Arabidopsis thaliana: one gene and its partners. The protein of the gene in region 1 interacts with the protein of each later gene in a pairwise test. Each region holds a gene or a part of one and is shown in the gene's direction. Other genes may lie near its edges.

The links. The genes of interacting proteins can lie anywhere in the genome.
Region 2: the proteins of MUB6 (region 1) and UBC10 interact in a two-hybrid assay, tested with the Arabidopsis thaliana proteins (one study listed by BioGRID).
Region 3: the proteins of MUB6 (region 1) and UBC28 interact in a two-hybrid assay, tested with the Arabidopsis thaliana proteins (one study listed by BioGRID).

The regions. Positions count from the first base shown.
Region 1 is NC_003070.9:7,768,462-7,774,775, forward strand, and holds MUB6 (membrane-anchored ubiquitin-fold protein 6 precursor), read left to right. Parts: upstream 1-3,197; 5' UTR 3,198-3,435; coding exon 3,436-3,568; intron 3,569-3,671; exon of another isoform or gene 3,672-4,023; coding exon 4,024-4,194; intron 4,195-4,326; coding exon 4,327-4,382; 3' UTR 4,383-4,693; downstream 4,694-6,314. Other genes in the region: AT1G22040 (Galactose oxidase/kelch repeat superfamily protein), read left to right, coding at 1-1,336; AT1G22060 (sporulation-specific protein), read right to left, coding at 4,912-5,188, 5,282-5,424, 5,506-5,607, 5,780-5,935, 6,243-6,314. UniProt on the Arabidopsis thaliana protein: May serve as docking site to facilitate the association of other proteins to the plasma membrane.
Region 2 is NC_003076.8:21,629,610-21,637,058, reverse strand, and holds UBC10 (ubiquitin-conjugating enzyme 10), read left to right. Parts: upstream 1-2,811; 5' UTR 2,812-2,960; intron 2,961-3,032; exon of another isoform or gene 3,033-3,059; 5' UTR 3,060-3,069; coding exon 3,070-3,139; intron 3,140-3,496; coding exon 3,497-3,624; intron 3,625-3,740; coding exon 3,741-3,845; coding exon of another isoform or gene 3,846-3,872; exon of another isoform or gene 3,873-4,113; coding exon 4,114-4,257; 3' UTR 4,258-4,492; exon of another isoform or gene 4,493-4,611; intron 4,612-5,012; 3' UTR 5,013-5,038; downstream 5,039-7,449. Other genes in the region: AT5G53320 (Leucine-rich repeat protein kinase family protein), read left to right, coding at 1-606; AT5G53310 (myosin heavy chain-like protein), read right to left, coding at 965-996, 1,086-1,144, 1,649-1,967, 2,180-2,402. UniProt on the Arabidopsis thaliana protein: Accepts the ubiquitin from the E1 complex and catalyzes its covalent attachment to other proteins. Mediates the selective degradation of short-lived and abnormal proteins.
Region 3 is NC_003070.9:23,830,942-23,837,947, forward strand, and holds UBC28 (ubiquitin-conjugating enzyme 28), read left to right. Parts: upstream 1-2,609; 5' UTR 2,610-2,730; intron 2,731-2,808; 5' UTR 2,809-2,850; coding exon 2,851-2,920; intron 2,921-3,535; coding exon 3,536-3,661; intron 3,662-3,750; coding exon 3,751-3,878; intron 3,879-3,944; coding exon 3,945-4,049; intron 4,050-4,135; coding exon 4,136-4,279; 3' UTR 4,280-4,595; downstream 4,596-7,006. Other genes in the region: AT1G64210 (Leucine-rich repeat protein kinase family protein), read left to right, coding at 92-1,268, 1,336-1,922; TOM7-2 (translocase of outer membrane 7 kDa subunit 2), read right to left, coding at 2,147-2,380; AT1G64235 (Bifunctional inhibitor/lipid-transfer protein/seed storage 2S albumin superfamily protein), read left to right, coding at 5,308-5,679. UniProt on the Arabidopsis thaliana protein: Accepts the ubiquitin from the E1 complex and catalyzes its covalent attachment to other proteins.

The DNA.
Region 1 (6,314 bases):
ATCTTCAGAGAACGATGAAGAAGAGTGTTGTAGATTGATTCCAAGTCTTCCTGATGAGTTATCTATACAGATTCTTGCTAGGCTTCCTAGAATTTGTTACTCGAGTGTTCGGTTGGTTTCTCGGAGGTGGAGATCGGCTGTTTCGACTTCTGAGGTGTATAGTTTGAGGAAAGAACTTGGGAGGACTGAGGAGTGGCTCTATGTGTTGACTAAAGGTCATGAGGATAAGCTTTTGTGGTATGCTTTAGATCCTGTGTCTACTAAATGGCAGAGATTGCCTCCAATGCCGGTTGTTGTTTATGAAGAAGAGTCTAGAAAGAGTTTATCTGGTTTGTGGAATATGATTACACCGAGCTTTAATGTTGGTGCGATTGTGAGGAGCTTTCTAGGTAGGAGGGACTCCTCTGAGCAAATGCCGTTTTGTGGGTGCGCTATTGGTGCTGTTGATGGGGGTCTTTATGTTATTGGTGGACTTTCTAGGTCTAAAACAGTGAGCTGTGTTTGGCGGTTTGATCCGATTTTGAACTCTTGGAGTGAAGTTAGTTCTATGTTGGCGAGTCGGGCTTATTCCAAAACAGGTGTATTGAATAAGAAACTATATGTTGTTGGAGGGGTTGATCGGGGACGGGGAGGTTTATCTCCTCTTCAGTCAGCTGAGGTTTATGATCCAAGCACGGATGCTTGGTCAGAGGTTCCGAGCATGCCTTTCTCAAAGGCGCAAGTGTTGCCAAATGCGTTTTTGGCTGACTTACTAAAGCCTATTGCCACAGGAATGACTTGCTACAACGGTAGGTTATGTGTTCCTCAGAGTTTATACTCTTGGCCTTTCTTTGTTGATGTTGGAGGAGAGGTTTATGATCCCGAGACAAATCTCTGGGTTGAAATGCCGTCTGGTATGGGTGAAGGTTGGCCTGCGAGGCAAGCAGGTACAAAACTGAGTGTTGTGGTGGATGGTGAGTTATACGCTTTTGATCCTTCTTCTTCGATGGAGAACGGAAAGATTAAAGTGTATGATCAAAAGGAAGATACTTGGAAGGTTGTTATTGGGGAAGTCCCTGTGTATGACTTAACAGATTCAGAATCTCCTTATTTGCTTGCTGGGTTTCATGGCAAGCTTCATTTCATTACTAGAGACCCTAATCATAACGTTACAGTCTTACGAGCTGATGTCCCCAACATCCCAGTCTCCTCATCATCATCTAGCTCCAGTTCTGTTTCAATCCCACACTTAAAGACCAATGCACCTAACAAGTCAGACACTGTTACATGGAAACTCATTGCAACCAAGGACTTTGGTGCTGCTGAACTTGTTAGCTGCCAAGTTATAGATATATAAAGTCATCAGAAGCTTTGCCCATTTCTCGTGGGCCATTAAGAATCTCTGTGTACAGCCAGAAGCAAAAACATGAAGCTTATGAGATGTTCTCCCAAAGATTTTATCGTCTAATTCTTCGATGATATATTCTTCTGGCATTTGGCTGCCAAAGTAAGCTTGAGTAATAAAATGTTGTGTGACAAATATATAATAATGCGACTGTTGTATCGAAATTTTTGACATGCGCAAATATACTATAGCAGTACATTACCTAGCAGTACAATTGCAGAAGTTCTGAATATGTAACATCAGTATGCTTCTGCATACATATTTCTGTAGTTGGTAATAGAGAAACTTGTAAAAGAAATAAAGTTTCAGGTAAAATTTGCAACTTATGGTGTGTATGTGATTCAGGCAATTAAAACAGTCTAACACAAAAAGGTATTGAAACTTCCTCCTTTTTTGGTTAATCCATCTCAACCAGGGATCACATTTCTTGAATTGAATCTAAACCGGAAATATTCGGTTCGGTTTAGAATCTCTCTTCCTTGCACTGAATTATGTAGCTCTCTTGATTAGTTTCTTGCTTCGACTACAATGGTGGACCTAAAGAAAGTAAGAAGACAAGAATGATATGTATAATTGATGCCTTAAGAATTTAGAACGAATCATATGCTCATAAAGCAAACCGTTTCTAGATTCTCATTTCACACTTCACCTCTTTTCTTTTTATCTTCTTTGATTTTTATATGAAAGTTGTTGCTTTTGATTTATTTCAACGAATCTATTCTATGATTAATTTTTGACATTTGTTTTAGTACTTTAATCTGATGTGAAGGAAATAGTCTTCTTTTCATGAATATCAAAGTATCACTAGCCTGTTAATTATTCCATCCAAAGGGTGTATCGGTTCTTTTTGTGGCATGCACGAACGAATTTTTCTTCATAATAATATTTGGTTGGTGTTTAGGAGGAAATTTTTTATGGTTGAACTTGAACATTTGAATTTCAACCATTTGGAACCAAACTAATTCTCATTTTAAATGATTTCCACTTGAACAAAAACCGATTATATCTATTTTTTTTTCTTCGAATGTTTTACTTGTAAGTTGGTGTATACAATTAGATTCATTACTTGAAAGTGAAGGAATTTTAGTTATACCTCGGTAACATTTTTTCTTTCGAACCAAATCGAATCCAAATGTTAAAGCATTAATTAGACCAAAATTTCAATTATTTCATTTAATTACCAATCAAGATTACTCACTAGATTGTTCCTCATGTCTTAAAACCCCACGGAAAATAATCGATTTGTGTAATTAAACACAATCTTTAATTAGTTAAAGTAGTTAGGCTTATATAGTTGGTGGCTGCCATTTTCTAACACATTCGAAATTACAATATGTTTCTTTGTGTGTTTATGCTAATCCTAAATTCCAGAAATGCCCCTCTTACCATATAATTTTGGCATATATGCCAACATATTAAAACAAGAATCCTATAAAATAATAGAGGAATCCAAAACACAAGAAATAAATTTCTTTAATTAAAAGAAATTAATGGTTGTTAAAGAGTTCAATATCAAAAGGGAAAGTATCAATACCCACTTAATAGGAATCAAAATTATTGAAATCCACTTGTTCAATATTGATATTGTACAACATGGCCAGAGTTTTTGACTAATACAATATCACTATCGAACAATCTAAAGTTAATTCACAAGTCTATATTTTTGATTAGTAAGTCACTAAATAATCAAAAGTCAGCTTTATTGATGATATTGTGTAGGGGTAAAAACGTCAAATTGAGGATTCAGGTAGGATTACGAAAATAAAAAAGAATCTGAAAGTTTCCCAATTTGTGTTATGTCTGCTCAAAGACAGCCTTTGTAACCAAAACCAAAGTGTCTCTCTTTTCTTCTTCCTAAATTTCTTTCCACGAGAATTGATTTGGGTTTGTGTTGTTTTTTTCTTTCTTTTTTGGGTTTTTGTAATTGGGTTGGTGAATAATCCTGCAAAAGTGTTCGATGATTTTCTCCAGAGAAGAATTTTGAAGTTTCTCTTTTTAGAGATTTTTTTTGTTGTTGGGGTTTTTTGTTTTCTGGGGGAAATTGAAAAGAGATGGCAGGTGAAGAAGATTGGATAGAACTAAAGTTTAGACTAGCAGATGGTACAGACATAGGTCCAAGCAAGTATAATCAATCTATGACTGTTTCTTCTCTTAAAGAGAAACTCATTTCTCAATGGCCTAAAGGTATTTTATACTTATAGTTATGCTTTTGCTTCTTTCTACAGCTTTTCACGGTTTTGATGGTTGAGTCTCATTTGATTCATTGCTTCATGTATTTCTTTTTACTCTCCATTGGGTTTGATTGTATTAAATTTGTCTTCTTTCTGCAATGATTTGAATGTATGATGAACTTTTTTGGGCTAGTCTAGGTGTTGAACTTTGTAAAGTATGAGGCTTTAATAGATAATTATAGTTTTATAGTGTGAAAGGTTTAGTTGTTGTTGTGTTAAGATCACTCTAGTTACTGATTTTGGCTAAAACTAGTATAAGATTGATGTCTCAAATTGTATTGTTTTTGCCTGGATTTTTTTGGTTTAGGTGTTTGGTGTTTCTTGGCCTTATTGAATCTTATGTTGCATTTACTTTCTCTACTTAAGGTTGTTTTATAATTGCATTTTCAATGTTTCTCTGTTTCACAGATAAAGAAAATACTCCAAAAACTGTAAATGATATGAAGCTCATCAATGCCGGGAAAATACTGGAGAACAATAGGACACTTGCTGAATCCAGGCTTCCTGTTTGTGAACTTCCTGGAATGATCATTACTATGCATATTGTTCTTCGCCTTCCTACGTTAGACAAAAAGAGCGGTAATTTTCTCTACCTTGTTATACTGTTTATCGCAGTGTAACAACATGTTCCCTTGAATTCTGTACTCGTTAACTATGGCTTTGAGATCATGTTCATATCATCTCATTATATGAAAATTTTCTGTTCCACAGAAAAACTGCAGAATGATCCACCGATGAAGAATCGCTGCGTGTGCACCATTTTGTAGCTGCAAGTAAATTGGATCATAGAGATTTATATCCGTCATGATCATGGCACTAGATGATGCTCCACGGAACAACTTCCATGGCATCAAACAAGCTTTGAGAAGTTCCTTCAGTACAGAATGATTGGCATAGGCATGAAAACAAAAGATCTTCATTACAGAATTTGGTTCCATGTGTGTGGTTTTTAATTATTATTTTTTAAAAATCAAAATGGCTTGAGAAAATGTACTATGATTCTTGAAGGTTGGTTCTTTTATAAATATATACAATATGTTCAATACAACAGTAAATAACAAGAATGGTATTGTCCTTATGTATGTTCTTATTCTCAACTAAACTTCTCATTTTTTGAATTAAAGAATATGGGGTTTCTATACAACACAGAGAACACATCACTTTAAAAACCCCATATCTTGAGACTCGAATAAACAACAATTATATTAAGCTATCTATAACTCGAGACCACTCTTGGAACTTGGACTTCTTCAACATTCTTGGAACTTTATATACATGGTAAGTAACATCTGTGCATTAATGTTCACCAAGAGTTGCTGATGATGAACGGTTCAAGAGCATAGCCTTCTTTGATGCCCTAACGTTCTTCAGAGTCATCATCAGCTTTTGTCTCTCTCCTTCAACCTCTGCAAACTTGAGGCTTAGCTGAGAATAACGGTCATGCATTTCCCTAAGCTCTGTCTCCATAGACGAATACCGGCCTTTGGTATCCAACATTTCTTCAATTAGATTGTTTATGTCTCTGAAACTCTGGAAGATTGCTTCGTCATCGGTGTGTTGCTTCAAGAAAGAGCTGCAATTTCAGGCAAAAAGGAATAATAAGTTCAACGTGGTCTAGTATAGTTACAAAGGCGAAAATTAATAGCAGAATTTTTGAATCGTGTACCTCTGGAAATGGGTGGTTGATTTTTTCTTTCCACGCAATGCTTCAGCGAGTTCTATTTCCAGTGCAAGAACCCTTTCCAATGCGTTTCCGCAACTGAAATTCTCTTGAGATAGAGGGAAGATACTCTGAAGTTCTTCCTTTGCCTGTCGAAAACAAGATCATAAGACTTCTACAGACACTTATGCTTCAATTCATTACAATCTCTAAAAGGTAAACATCAGCACCTGACGCAACTGCATCAGCTCCTGTTCCAAACCCGGAAATCTGGTGTCTGAATCATTATCATCTTGAGGTTCAAGTAGATTCTCATTCTTCATCCGTTCTAGCTGTAAAGAAGACAGAAAAAAGACCCAATGACGCTAGGCAAAATCTTTCTGTAGATAATTACCATCATGTAGATATTGTAATTCAGAATTGCCATCCAATCCAAACTAAGTCACTGATATTAACATTTCCAATTAATTTAACTAGTAATTTTAACCCTTAATCCAGTATTACCTCATCGTTTAGGTGATCCATGCTAGACCTTAAAGTCTCTGCCCTGAATTTATCATTGATCAAAGCTAGGCTTTCTTCACGTTTGTCCAGCGCCATTGCTTCTCCGGAAGGTAATTGGTCTCTGTTTCCATTTACACTGCTCGATTGAATAGTACCCTGATGAACATACATTAAAATAAGAAATTCCTTATAGCACCTTTTTTTACCCGTCGAGCACAGGAAATAACATCCTTAATATCTAACTAGAGAACTATTTACAGAAAACATCGACATACGTAGTAGCCTAGTCATTACCAGCTTGATTAAATCACGTAAACTAGTTTTGCATAACATTTCATAAAGAAGATGCAGCAGAAGTTTAGGGTTGGAACAGAACTCGTTTTAACTTCTATGATACCATGAACTTGAATATTCTTAACTTCCAAATAAATGCTAATGCAAACGCAATCTAACTGAGGGTTACCTGAATTATCGACCTGGGACTGATGATCCGCACTGTAGGATCAATACAAGCAACTTCCCTTTGCCCGTTGTT
Region 2 (7,449 bases), on another chromosome or scaffold:
CGGAAGCGTCTAGAATGGGAAACTAGACTGAATATGGTGTATGGAACAGCAAGAGGAGTAGCTCATATCCACTCACAAAGCGGAGGTAAACTAGTCCACGGGAACATAAAATCCTCAAACATTTTCCTCAACGGGAAAGGATATGGCTGCATATCTGGAACAGGAATGGCTACACTGATGCATTCATTACCGCGGCATGCAGTTGGCTATCGTGCACCAGAGATAACAGACACAAGAAAAGGGACTCAACCGTCTGATGTGTATAGTTTCGGGATATTGATATTCGAGGTACTAACAGGAAAATCAGAAGTGGCAAACCTGGTGAGGTGGGTGAACTCGGTGGTTAGAGAAGAATGGACAGGAGAGGTGTTTGATGAGGAGCTTTTGAGGTGTACCCAAGTAGAGGAAGAGATGGTGGAGATGCTTCAGGTTGGTATGGTTTGCACAGCGAGATTACCAGAGAAGAGACCAAACATGATTGAGGTAGTGAGAATGGTGGAAGAGATAAGACCAGAGAAACTAGCCAGCGGATACAGATCAGAGGTTTCCACAGGTGCGACAACAACTCCGATTGGAAGTCTATCAGGATCTCCGTATATACTATAAGAAAGACTATTCCATCTTTCCTTAATGTATTGACCATTCAGAAAAAGATTTCAATATTTCTACAGACGATTATCGTGATTGCCATTTGAGAACCGTTTCCAACAAAACTAGAATCTGTCTTCTAACAATATTTGAAATATACTTGTAACCATTTGTTTCTTATATTGACACTACTGGTCTTGTGTTACATGAAAGAATCCATTCACATTTTCGAAAGTCGAAACAGAATATAATAAACAACACATACCACCATGATTTCAGCTATTAGTAACCAACAGAAAAGACATTCGAAAGTCGAAACAGATCTTACTAGTGGTCCCTCCAAAGTTTATGAACAGCGAGGAAAGTTGAGATGTAGTCACTTCCACACAAATTTGGTCTTGATACCCCCTGAAAAATAGTGGTAGAGCTTGATGAGCAAATAAACTAACCACAAACTTAGATTGAATCACAATATCCAGAATCTTATTCATACAAACCTTCAGATTCCTCAAAAGAAACTTCCTTTACTAATGAGGCAGATGCATTGTACTCAAATCTGGAATGAACACAAGGAGAAACCATTATCAGTATAAAACACAAACTGCACATATAAACCAATAGCTGAGTTTTACGATATGGGAGATATACAAAATGTTTCTACGGACTATTATCGTGATTGCCATTTGAGAACAGTTTCAATCAAAACTAGAATATGTCATCTAACAGTATTTAAAATATAGTTGTAACCATTTGTATCTCAACGTACTAATTTCAGTAGTTATCTCCTAAAAGTGTTAATTCTTTATCTTCTTCCATAAATATAGATATGATTAATAGGTACAAGTGGATCCTCTGGTCTCACCACTAACTAATAGCCAAGTCACTTAAGAAACAGAGCTCACTAAGTTTCAGAGACTAAAAAGACCCACATCAGTTCTCAGTAACACAATACCTGTAGTGTCAATATCAGGAAATGAGATGAAAATAAACAATTCTCATGTGCATGGTATTAGCATTCAAAGAGGAGACATCAAAAACCAAAAATTGCGGTCATAGTTACCTGTTAGAGAGAAGCACTTCAAGTTCATAGTCAGAAGCACTTTTAGTGACATCTACCATGACCTGAACAAGCTCAGTCTTCCTAGTGCTGGCCATGAAGAGATCATATTCCGTGGGAATAATGATAGCGAAGAAGTTATCACTCAATTTGCTTAAACACATCTTCTCTACTGATGACAAAGCAATTCTCCTGGTCATAGCTTCAGTCTCGGGATCAATTAGATAGATCGCAAAATCAGTGAGGATAAAAATACGCCGTTTCATCTTCCCCGAGCCGGTGAACTTCAAAACTTTATCAGCAAAAAGAATCGATGTATCACCTATAACAACAATGAATCACCTTCTCAACATCAAACACATGCAATTCAAGGTGAATCCAATCATTAGCAATCCAAACAACCACATAAGAAACTATAAATCGATGCCACAATTCTACAGCTGATTCAACTATTCCTCCAAGTTCTTCGATTCACAAATTGCCTCTCAATCTCAAATTCATCAAATAAAAACCAAAAGTTTGGAGAAACCTAACCTTGTTTCTCCAGAATTCGCATCAATCCAGGACGAGAAGAAACGTGAAGATAGTCACCACGATGCTCTCTATAGCGAGACGCTTTCCTTCTGACTTTACCTCCAGCGAATGGCGTGTGATCTCCTCCGTCTACCTCACCCACACTTCGATCTTCATCAAAATCAGGTGGAGGTGATTCTTCGCCGTCGAACTTCGGCCCCTTTTGCTCCTTCAACCGGTTCATTCCTCCCGGCGACGAACTCGAAATCGGAATCGGTTAGCTTATTCTCAGATTCTGCGTTAGAAAAATCTCCAAAGTGAGAGAGAAGACGTGGCTTCAAATGATTCGATCGATTAAAAGATACAAATCTCAGCCGTTAGATTATATGACTTCATCGCAACGCGTTTCGATGCCACTTGATTTGAAATTTATAATAAACTCGCAGCCGTTAGATTTCAATACCACTTGATTTAAGGATAGGATATCAACCGTTAGATTAGATGACTTTTTAAGACGATGTCGTTTCAATGCAACTTGATGTTTTAATTAAGAAGCGCCGCGTCGTTTCAAGGTCCACCGAATAATAAGAGGGTTAAAAGTAGAGTCCACTAGTCAAAGAAAGTAAATAATCCACACGGTATTTATTGTAGACGTGAGCACAGAGAATAATTCGTATTCTTCGTCTTTCGTCCACCACCATCTCTATTTTCTTCCTTTCCCCTAAGTCTTGGTTCTTCTTCTCTCTAATACGAGAAGAAAAAGGCGAAAACCTCGCCAATCCGATTACGCGAAAAATCAAAGGTATTGTCTCTGTAGCTTTTGGATCTATTACTTATATTTCTCACGGATTTATAGCTTCTCTGATTCGTTTAGAATCTTTGTTTGATTTTTGATTTTTAGGTTTTTGGATATGGCGTCGAAGCGGATCTTGAAGGAATTGAAGGATCTCCAGAAGGATCCACCTACATCATGTAGCGCAGGTACTTGTTTCGTGTTTGGATTTTGAGATTTCATCTTAAAAAGTTTTGTTTCCCTGAGCTGGTGTTGATAGATCCGGTTTTTTTGTTCGCTTATGCTTGGATTTGTTTGGATTTGTGTGTTTATGTGTTGTTTGGTACCGATCTCGAGCTAAGTACTCGTTTTACTTTTTAAGATCTGGCTAGAACTAAATTTGGTTTATCTCGTTTCTGATTTCTCTGGTGAAGATCTTATAAAGGCTTAAAACTCGTTTCATTGTCTTAGTTTCTGGGGTCTGGTTATACTTGTGAAGAAAAAACTGTCTCTTTGTTTCCTTGTGCTTATGTGGTGTGAGATTGAGTTTATCTTTCTGTGTACAGGTCCTGTTGCTGAAGACATGTTTCACTGGCAGGCAACGATAATGGGTCCTTCAGAGAGTCCTTATGCTGGAGGTGTTTTCCTTGTAACCATCCATTTCCCTCCGGATTACCCATTCAAGCCTCCTAAGGTGATTCCAATATTTTGAGAATTGTTATCAAGTATGTTTTGCCAAAGCTCGTATGTTCTTTATGGTTGCTTCATTATCTCATTGTTCTTCATTATGGTGTGTGTGATGATATCTAGGTGGCCTTTAGGACCAAGGTGTTCCATCCCAACATTAACAGCAACGGTAGCATTTGCCTCGACATCTTGAAGGAGCAGTGGAGTCCTGCGCTCACCATTTCCAAGGTTCGGTTTCTCTTATTCTTTTGTTAACAATAGAAACCCACCTTAAAACAAATACTCTCTATTAAAACTGCTTCAGAGGCAGTAATCTACTCTTATCAAACATGCTTTTGCTCCTTAATCCCTAGTTGAAGTGATAAGATTGAGCTGTCTTCATTAAACTTTGACTCATTTCGGTTGTCTCTGAAACATTAAGCTTATTAGACTCATTGAGGATGAAAAATTGTTGTTTGTTATCGATCAGTTCTAACAACTGCTTTGCAATTAACAGGTGCTGCTATCGATCTGTTCTTTGTTAACCGATCCAAACCCGGATGATCCTTTGGTGCCCGAGATAGCTCACATGTACAAGACTGACAAGAACAAGTACGAGTCCACTGCACGAAGCTGGACTCAGAAGTATGCCATGGGCTAAATGGAAAATCCCACCTACTAAATTATCTCTTTATGAAGAAAAAAATCTGCCTTAATTTCTATGTATGATTCGATAGACATCTCTTTGTGTCCTTTTAACTTTCTGAAGACAGGACCAAATGAAGTGGGTCTTGTTTTAAACGAAACAAAAAAAAACATCATCTTTGTGAAAACTAGAATCTGATCATCTTCTGTTGTTTCTTCTTGTGGTGAAATTATGATTTGATGTTTTCGTTGTGTGATGAGTTGCTACGAGTTGTTCAAATTTATCAAACTAGTCTTCAAACTTATCCAACTGGTCTTCAAACTTATCCAACTGGTCTTCAAATTTACTCTGAGTTAATCGTTGTGGCCAATGCCCGTCATGGTGACAATGCGTTCTGTTGTAGCACGTATGTTGTAGAAAATGAGTTTTGTACCTTGCAAGGTGCGCCTGTGGATTGTGGACTACATACGTGATGCAACAAACATTTTAAGTATGCAATAATATCACAAACAATCCTATATCCATTAAACGACATGTATTATGCATGTTTGAACTCAAGTAGTAACTCAGCAATGATTCACTAGTACAAAACCACTAAACACCCTATTTTGTTTATAAGTTATAACAGTTTTCTTATTCGTATCATCCATCATATCATGAGTTTGACGAAAACATGTTATTTGGTGAAGTCAAATTATTTGACAATACAGTATTTAATAAAATAATAAATAGCCTGATTATGTGGAATGTGAGTGGTATAGAATCAACAGAAAAAAAAAAAAGAGTGGTATAGAATCTAATACTACAGATAATCTATAGATGAATGGGTATGGACTGAACTCAAGTTATGTAGATGGGCTTCGATGGACCAAAGATCCATCGCTCGTCCGAGCTTAAAGTATCACCCCTAACAAATTATCTTTACAAGTCCACAGGTAAGAGAAAAATACATTTAATAGTGTTGTGCTATTAGAATATTTTTGAATTTCTCTTCTCTATAAGAAAATACAGTATGTTACTATCTTTTTTTCAAAATTTATCATTATCCCACGGATCAGTGTATTAGAAGAGTATCAGTTTGAACTTAGAAATGATAACCAACAGGCAAAACTTACTCTAGTTAAGAGCAAAAGACCAAATTAAACATCTGCTTTAAGTTTAACAAAATAAGAAATCATAGGGACTATAGGTTTGATTTAGATATCCATGAAACTTGTAGGCTAAGAACTCTAGACATTCAAACGCAAAATTCAAACAATTGGTGTCGACTGAAAGAAATAAAATAAAAATCAGTGTTCCATGTTTTTTGGTTTAGTTAAGATAGGTGTTCCATATTCCAAAATGTTAAAATACTTTAATAATTGTAACAATGCACGGTTAAAGAGACAATACAACCAATTAACTATTCGACGTCAAAAATGTCGGCTGCATTAATTTCCCTATTCGGTTTCTCCTTCCCTAAACTAGTAAGCAGTAAGACATTCAATTCTCCTTTAACAAAACCAAATTTAATTATAATGTTAATGTATTATGTTCTATTATAGGATTAGATATTTGGAGGGTTCATCTTACTATTTAATTGTAAATTCGTTTTGTAAAATTTCATTTTATATAATGTTGTTTTTAACTATTTTACAGTTTGTAATTTTTTTTATTAGTGAAATAAACTAAATTATATATTAAATGATATGTTCATAGAAAACAAATATATATATCTCCACAATTTAGCAAAACATTTTACAATCGAAATATTTGTTTCTCATTGATTCGTCATTGTGTAAGTCAGTAATAAACAAAATTATAAGGAGTATGTTTTGTTAAAAAAAATTTAGAATAGCTTTTCCTAGGAGTTATAAGAAACTAATAACCGATTATTCTTTGAACTACTTAATTTCTCTTTTATTTCCTATGTCTCCTCTTTATGTTTTAGAGAACACCGGGATGTGAAATTGACAGTGGTGAACATCGATGATGTTTAAACGACAATAGGATTCTTTTGATTTTGAAGTTGTAGATTAAAATTTTGTAACTAAATTTATAATATTTGACAAATTTTGTAACAAATTTCTAAAGTTCTTGTAAGCTTTGTAATTTGCTTGTTTTTTTCTTTTTGTTATTGTAAGCTTTTGAATTTATAAAAGTTTTGTGATTTGCTTGTTTGTAAAAACTTGTGATTTTACGTTATTTTCTTGAAACACCAATACGAGATTTGGGCTTACCGAGGCTTCTTTCGAGGTCTGTTCGGTTATTCCTAATGGTTTTATTGTTTCCACTACTCAAGCACTATCTCAAAACATTAATATAAAACAATCGAAACTACTTCAATTTCCATTTTAACCTTGATTTTTAATTTTTCTTGCTAAGTATAGTTGACGTATGATGGACCACTAGCAGCCACATGGAAATAGCAGAACCACACAGGGTCTTTCTTTCCCTCGGGGTTTCATTGCAGTTGCATTGAATAATTTTGTCTTATACTTAATAATTCTTCATTTGCCACTAGTTAATAACTATTAACTAATACCTATGTTGCACTATTATAAAATAATACTCACCATTCCGTTTTCAGTTTCGCGCAATATCACTTAACAGAAATAAAACAACTTGTTAATATCTCGTACTCATATATTGATTGTTATAGAATGAGAAAAAACATCTTGTACTGTTCAATTCCCACTAGTGATTAGTTTTGTACGAGTAAAGTTTTTAAATTTGTAAATGATGACTTTAATATTAATTTTCTACCCACACCGTAAATTTTCTTTTTGTACCGAAATACGGAAAATAATTTTAAAATTAACTAAAAATCAGCTTTTAAGAAAAAGGCAAAAAAAAAAAACGAGTCTCTTACACGACCACTTCGAAGATGTCTTCCTTTCGATAAATTACGTTTTCTAAAGAATCTAACCATTAGTCTTTTACTATACTATATAACAATCGAATTTTGTTTATGATTATTTAATTTTTCTGAACATGCAAAACCTCTTATTTGAAAGTTGAAATCATAGAAAGTAACATATAAGAATTCAACTACACGTGTCAGTGATTAGACTAATGATAAATCTACCTCCAAAGTCTCCATAACTTGGATAATTATACATTTTTTTAGGGTAAGAGAGATAGGTCGTGCCCAGAAGAGCATGGTCCTGAAAACCAGGTTTTCTTAAAATAATCAAGTTAAAAATTAGGTTTAATCATAATTAATTC
Region 3 (7,006 bases), about 16 Mb from region 1:
CTTTTATCTATTTTTTTAATCAGAAACAAATTCTTCTGCTAAAGAAAATTTCTCTGTTTTACAGTTAGAGACAAAAACTAGTTTCTTCACAATGCAAATCTTCTTGTTCTTCTTCTCTTTGATTCTCTGTTTTGTTCTGATTTCCTCTCAGACTCTTGAAGACGACAAGAAAGCTTTGCTTCATTTCTTGTCTAGTTTCAATTCTTCTCGTCTCCATTGGAACCAGAGCTCAGACGTTTGTCATAGCTGGACCGGTGTTACCTGCAACGAAAACGGAGATCGAATTGTATCCGTTAGATTGCCTGCGGTTGGATTCAACGGTTTGATTCCTCCTTTCACCATCAGTCGTCTCTCTTCTCTCAAGTTTCTAAGCCTTAGAAAGAACCATTTCACCGGAGACTTCCCTTCTGATTTCACAAATCTCAAGAGCTTGACTCATCTCTACCTACAACATAACCACCTCTCAGGTCCACTACTAGCTATCTTCTCGGAGTTGAAGAATCTTAAGGTTCTTGATCTGTCTAACAATGGATTCAACGGAAGCATCCCAACCTCTCTTTCAGGATTGACTAGCCTTCAAGTCTTGAATCTTGCAAACAATTCATTCTCAGGGGAAATTCCAAATCTTCATCTTCCAAAACTGAGTCAGATCAACTTGTCCAACAACAAGCTCATCGGTACAATACCAAAGTCTCTTCAAAGATTCCAAAGTTCAGCTTTTTCTGGCAACAACCTTACCGAGAGGAAGAAACAACGCAAGACTCCTTTCGGGTTAAGCCAACTTGCTTTCTTGCTGATTCTGTCTGCAGCTTGCGTTTTGTGTGTTTCCGGATTATCATTCATAATGATCACTTGTTTCGGGAAGACTAGAATCTCCGGGAAGTTGCGAAAGAGAGACTCGTCTTCTCCTCCAGGAAACTGGACATCTAGAGATGATAACACTGAAGAAGGCGGGAAGATCATCTTCTTTGGTGGAAGAAACCACTTATTTGATTTAGATGATTTGCTAAGCTCATCTGCAGAAGTTTTGGGGAAGGGTGCTTTTGGTACAACCTATAAGGTAACAATGGAGGACATGAGCACGGTCGTTGTAAAACGATTGAAGGAAGTTGTCGTTGGAAGACGAGAGTTTGAGCAACAAATGGAGATCATTGGTATGATCAGACATGAAAATGTAGCTGAGCTAAAGGCTTACTACTACTCCAAAGACGATAAGCTCGCGGTTTATAGCTATTACAATCATGGAAGCCTCTTCGAAATACTGCACGGTTAGTTATTTTCATTGCTCTCATTCTGATGATAAATCGAAACTACAAGGTTCCATTTTCTTTGCAGGAAACAGAGGAAGGTATCATCGAGTACCGTTAGATTGGGATGCTAGACTGCGAATAGCAACCGGTGCAGCGAGAGGGCTAGCTAAAATCCACGAAGGGAAGTTCATACATGGAAACATCAAATCCTCAAACATCTTCTTAGACTCACAATGCTATGGCTGCATAGGCGATGTTGGCTTGACGACAATCATGAGATCACTTCCTCAAACCACTTGCCTTACTTCTGGCTACCATGCACCTGAAATAACAGACACAAGAAGAAGCACACAGTTTTCGGATGTATACAGCTTCGGTGTGGTATTACTGGAGCTCTTGACAGGGAAATCACCAGTGAGTCAAGCAGAATTAGTACCAACAGGAGGTGAGAACATGGACTTAGCTAGCTGGATAAGATCTGTGGTGGCTAAAGAGTGGACTGGAGAAGTGTTTGATATGGAGATATTGAGTCAATCAGGTGGTTTCGAGGAGGAGATGGTTGAGATGTTGCAAATAGGATTGGCTTGTGTTGCTCTGAAGCAACAAGAAAGACCTCATATAGCTCAAGTTTTGAAATTGATTGAAGATATTCGATCAGTTGATGCAGAGTGAGACAACACAAACTAGTAGTAGTAACCATTAAAGCAAATTCTTTGTTTCTTCATAGATCATTTGATTTTATTGAATTTGAATCATGCAAAAAAGAATGAGACTTTGAATTATAGAATCAGAAACAAATATAAATCCATTTCATAAAACGAAGAAAACAGAACAAATTTGGGAAAAAAAGTAAAAGCATCTAAGAAGAACATTACGAAGAAGATCCAATTTGTGGATTAAACGGGAGAGAGGAGGTGAAAAAGATGAGGTTTAGGATCTGAGTTCATGCCGATGATGATGATCAGAGGGATGAAACCATAGTGAGTCGCGACTTTGGCTTTCTGTAATGACCAGTTGGTCCAATCCTTGAAGACCTTGTACTTTGATGATGCAGAGGAGGACGAAGATGATGATGATCCCTTTGATGGTTTTGCTTTGCCTTTGATCTTCAACGTACTTTTAGCCGCCATTGATTCTGATCTCAGAACTCTCTCTCTCTCTCTCTGCTTATCTCTGTGTCAGAGTCGATTTAGCTGGAAGACAAAAACCCTAAAGGGTTTAAGCACCTTTTTAAAGCCTCTATGAAACACTCTGTCTAACTCAGAGGGTCCTTTATTTTTTATTAAAAGTATGTTTATCCAATAATGATTCTCTGGCTCGCTGGAAAATAGCTGTCATTATTTATATTTGAAGCATACATAAATAAAATTTCTCTCTCTTTGTTTATTCGTTAGGTCTCAAAGGCTCTCTCTGTCTCTTTCTCAAAAATCATCTGCAGGAAGTGAATCGTCAAAACCGAGTTTGGAGGATCTGTCTTGAGGTAAAAAAGCTCAATCCTTTATCGGAAATTTTCAACCTTTGCTTTTCCTTTGTTTGTTGCGTTGCTGAATCTATCTAGGGTTTGGTTTTTTGGATCTAGGAGTTTTTTTTTGGTTGAGAAATGGCTTCGAAAAGGATCTTGAAAGAGCTCAAGGATCTCCAGAAGGATCCTCCAACTTCCTGCAGTGCTGGTTAGTCTTTACCTCTCCTCTCGTAAATCGTGTCTGATCTATTTTTGAGCTTTGTTGTTAGATCTTATAATCTTATCTTTAAGCAAACAAAAAAATGAAATCTTTTTTAGTCTTCGTAATTTTATAACGAAGTTATCTAGAGATCTTGAGGTGGTAATTGCCGCTAAGTTATGATCTTAGTTTAGAAGATACCAATTGAAAGTTGAGATTTTTCTTAGAACAGAACAAATTTATGGCTGTACTGATCCTTGATTGAAAATTACAGCTTTCTAATAATCATAGTCTAGAAGATAGCTGTTAAAAATTGGGATCCATTTACCCATCCTGGATACTATTGATCATAATTAATAAGATAACAGTTGGAAGTTGAGATTTTTCTTAGAACAAAGTTGAGATTGGTCGTTGCAGTTATCTTATGATCATAGTCTAGGAAATAGCTATTGAAAGTTGTGAATTTTCTTAGAATTAAGCTTTTGGTGTTGTATGCTGCCTTGTTTATCCAAGTATCCATAACGGATCTTACAGACTTGATACCTCGCACTGATAGTCTTTCTTAGTTATCTATTGCATTCAGGTTTATACATGTTTGTTTTGTTTATTAAAATATATGATAAGTGGATAATGCGTCGAAATTGTTGGTCTTAATAGAGTTAGAGGATTGTTGTCGGAGATTCTCAAACTGTTCATGCATTCTTCTGCTAGAGAAGTCTCAGGACATTGCTATGGCACATGTTTTGTTGTGTGTATTTCAGTAAATGCCATAGATCATCATGTTTAAAAGACTAATCTTTCTATTTTTTCCTTCTATGAACAATTGTGAAATCTTCAAGGCCCAGTTGCTGAAGACATGTTTCATTGGCAAGCTACAATAATGGGTCCATCTGATAGTCCTTATTCAGGCGGTGTCTTTCTCGTAACCATTCACTTCCCTCCGGATTATCCTTTCAAACCACCAAAGGTAAATTATTCATTGTTACCAAACTGAAATCATGAACTGGAATTCAAAATGCTCTTTTTCTTGCAGGTTGCATTCAGGACAAAAGTGTTCCACCCTAATGTCAACAGCAATGGAAGCATTTGCCTTGACATTTTGAAAGAACAATGGAGTCCTGCACTCACCATATCGAAGGTGAAAAAGCACTCTTTAACCAATAGCAGTGGATGATATATAATGAATCTCCTCTTATTTTAATCAAATCTCTTGTGAATTTATAGGTTTTGCTTTCGATATGTTCATTGTTAACGGACCCAAACCCAGATGATCCATTGGTTCCAGAGATTGCTCACATGTACAAAACCGATAGAGCAAAGTATGAGTCTACTGCGAGAAGCTGGACTCAGAAATATGCAATGGGATGAAAGTTTGTGTCCTTTGATCCCTCACAGACTCGGTTTTAATAGAGAGAGAGAGAGAAAGAGAGAGGACTTCTTCACATAGGGATCTTCCATGAAATAAGTTAGATTCCTATGTTTTATCATCTCTTTGTTTGAAACCTCTTTAATCTCAAACAAAAACATTACTTCACCTCTTTATTATCCATATGTTCCCTATCTTTGTTTCTATGCTTTTTCCAAAAAATTATAAGAAAAATTATTTATGTAAAGCTGGAAACTTTGAGCTTTTACCTAACAAAGTATGACGATGATTAAATGGGAACATTTGACATTTGCTACCAAATTTTCAAAATTCCGTGTTTGAGAAAATATTGAAATAAAACCATTTTTGCAGAAAAATAAAATAAAAATTGCATGATTTTGAAGATGTTGATTAACATATTAATTCGAAATTTACCCTTGTATGAAATGCAAAGTGATAAATTTACCCTACAGAAAATTTTCTCCACCTTTATCATTTCCCTTGCTTGTAAGGGATCAATGATTCCATATGTGCATTAATTTAAAAATACCTCAAATCAAAGAATAAAGGTACACTTTATCTACCATTGAATTAAGTTACCTCATTATGAAATGGAAAGCGAAATCAAAAGGCATATTATTACGAAACAATAAACTGTAGATTTATTGGTTAGCTAGATCATCCAACTTTTCATTCAATCTGAATTTTCATTTAATTTATGATGATTTGAATGTAAAATCTGTAAATCATGGTGTATTATTATTAACCAATGAAATATTCTAAATACTGAAAATAATTCATGTAGTGATTTAGCCAATCATTTAGGCTATATTTAGTTATTTACATAGCAACTAATTACGTTCATGTTGATTAACAAGGAAAAACGCGTTCATTACGCAATACCATGCAATTGGAATCCTTCATTATCCAAGAAATACCTAAACAAATTCTCATGTTTTGCACAGAAAACAAAAGGAATCCAAAATATTTGCTATAGGTATATCTAAAAGAAACAACTATATATACATGCATGAAGACCGTCGGATTGTTGCTTATTACATTCGTCATTCTCTTGGCATCATTACCGCTTCCAACAAAAGCTATCGGTGCAGGCGGAAGTAGATCCAAGAGGGACAGAGAATCATGTGAAGAAAGTAGGATTCAGACTTGCTTGGACGTTGTTAATAGTGGATTAAAGATATCGACCGAATGTTGTAAATTTTTGAAAGAGCAACAACCATGTCTTTGTGATGTAACTAAAACCAGTAAGATCAAGACCAATGTCCTCAGCTCTCGTCTCAAGTCTTGTGGTATTCATAACCTAAAATGTGGAAATAACAACAATGCGATGCGAACAAGCAACCCCCCAGTACTTCGAGACACCACACCAAAGATACGTTGAGTCTTTGACTCTTTTTTTATATTAACCCTATTATAGATAGTTTACAATTTAGGGAAATTTTCTCCACCTTTCCCATATTCCTTGCTTGTAAGAATCAATGATTTCATATTAAATCATGAACTCTTATAGATACAAAAGTTTGGATTGTCCATGCTAACATTCATAAACGTAATAATATGATAAAAATGTGGGATAAAAAGAACAATGTTTTTACTTTTTACCAAAAAAAAAAAAAAAGAACAATGTTGACTCTCTTAATTTTCATCCCCAGAGTGACTTGTCTCGTTGATAACCGTTGGATCTCCCGTTAGATCATCTCTCTCGTAGTCAAAAGTCAGGCAATTTTATTAGTGGGCTTTCTATTTTCGACCCAACACTTTGATGTTTCCGAACTCTTTATTTCTTATTCTGCAAAGCTGTGCGAGAGTGAGAGTGTAGTTGTCTTCCTCAGTCGTGACGACATCGCCGGGAAATTCCTTAATGCAACTCAAATTACTTCCATTTCTGAAAATCCAAACTTCCTAATACTCCTTTACCTTCTCAGGTATGTAAACATCTATAACTTAGACGACTATACTGTTGTGTTTTGTTTTCTAGGGTTTTTTAAAACAATTTTTTGCTGGATTTATCAGCTCCGGTGCCTTGTTGTTGTTGTTTTAGAGATCAAAATTGATTTTTCATCTTTCGGGGTTCTTTATAATTTTTAGGGTTTGCATGTTAGGGTTTTATCCCCTGAATTTTTTATTTTGCTTTGTATTTAGTTTTTTGTTTGTTTGTAGAATTTGATGTACCATTCCATACATTTTAGGGACTTAGGCCTTTCATGTTGTTGTTTTAGTGATAGGAGGTGGCTGCTGTTTCTTCTTGGGTTGTGCATAACAAGGATTTAGCAATAAAGTTTACATTTTTACTTTGGATTCCTTGCAGGTTTGGTGTGCTCATGGCTGAAATGGAGGTTCCGGTGTTGTGTTACTGGAACGGTCGCATTGAGTATGGTAGCAATGGGGTATATGACAGATCAACTCCTAGAATGATCAAAGTTAAGAGAAAGACTGAGTTAAGCATATTGTTGGATCAGCTGTATCTTCTTACTGGATTAGATGTAAATGATCGGAGATCAAAGGTTAGAATTTTCGGTAGGTTTCCTTCAGCTGTTCAACCGCAATCAATGCTTCATTTTCTACTTTTGCCTGTGGTGAACGACTCTAGTTTGGAGACAATGCTTGAAGTCCCAAGCAAACATCCTTCTATTAAAAATGTAGAACTGTATTTGGAAGTGAAATCTGATGGGGTTGTTGTGTCTGCTGCTCGTTCGCCGTTGTTGGCA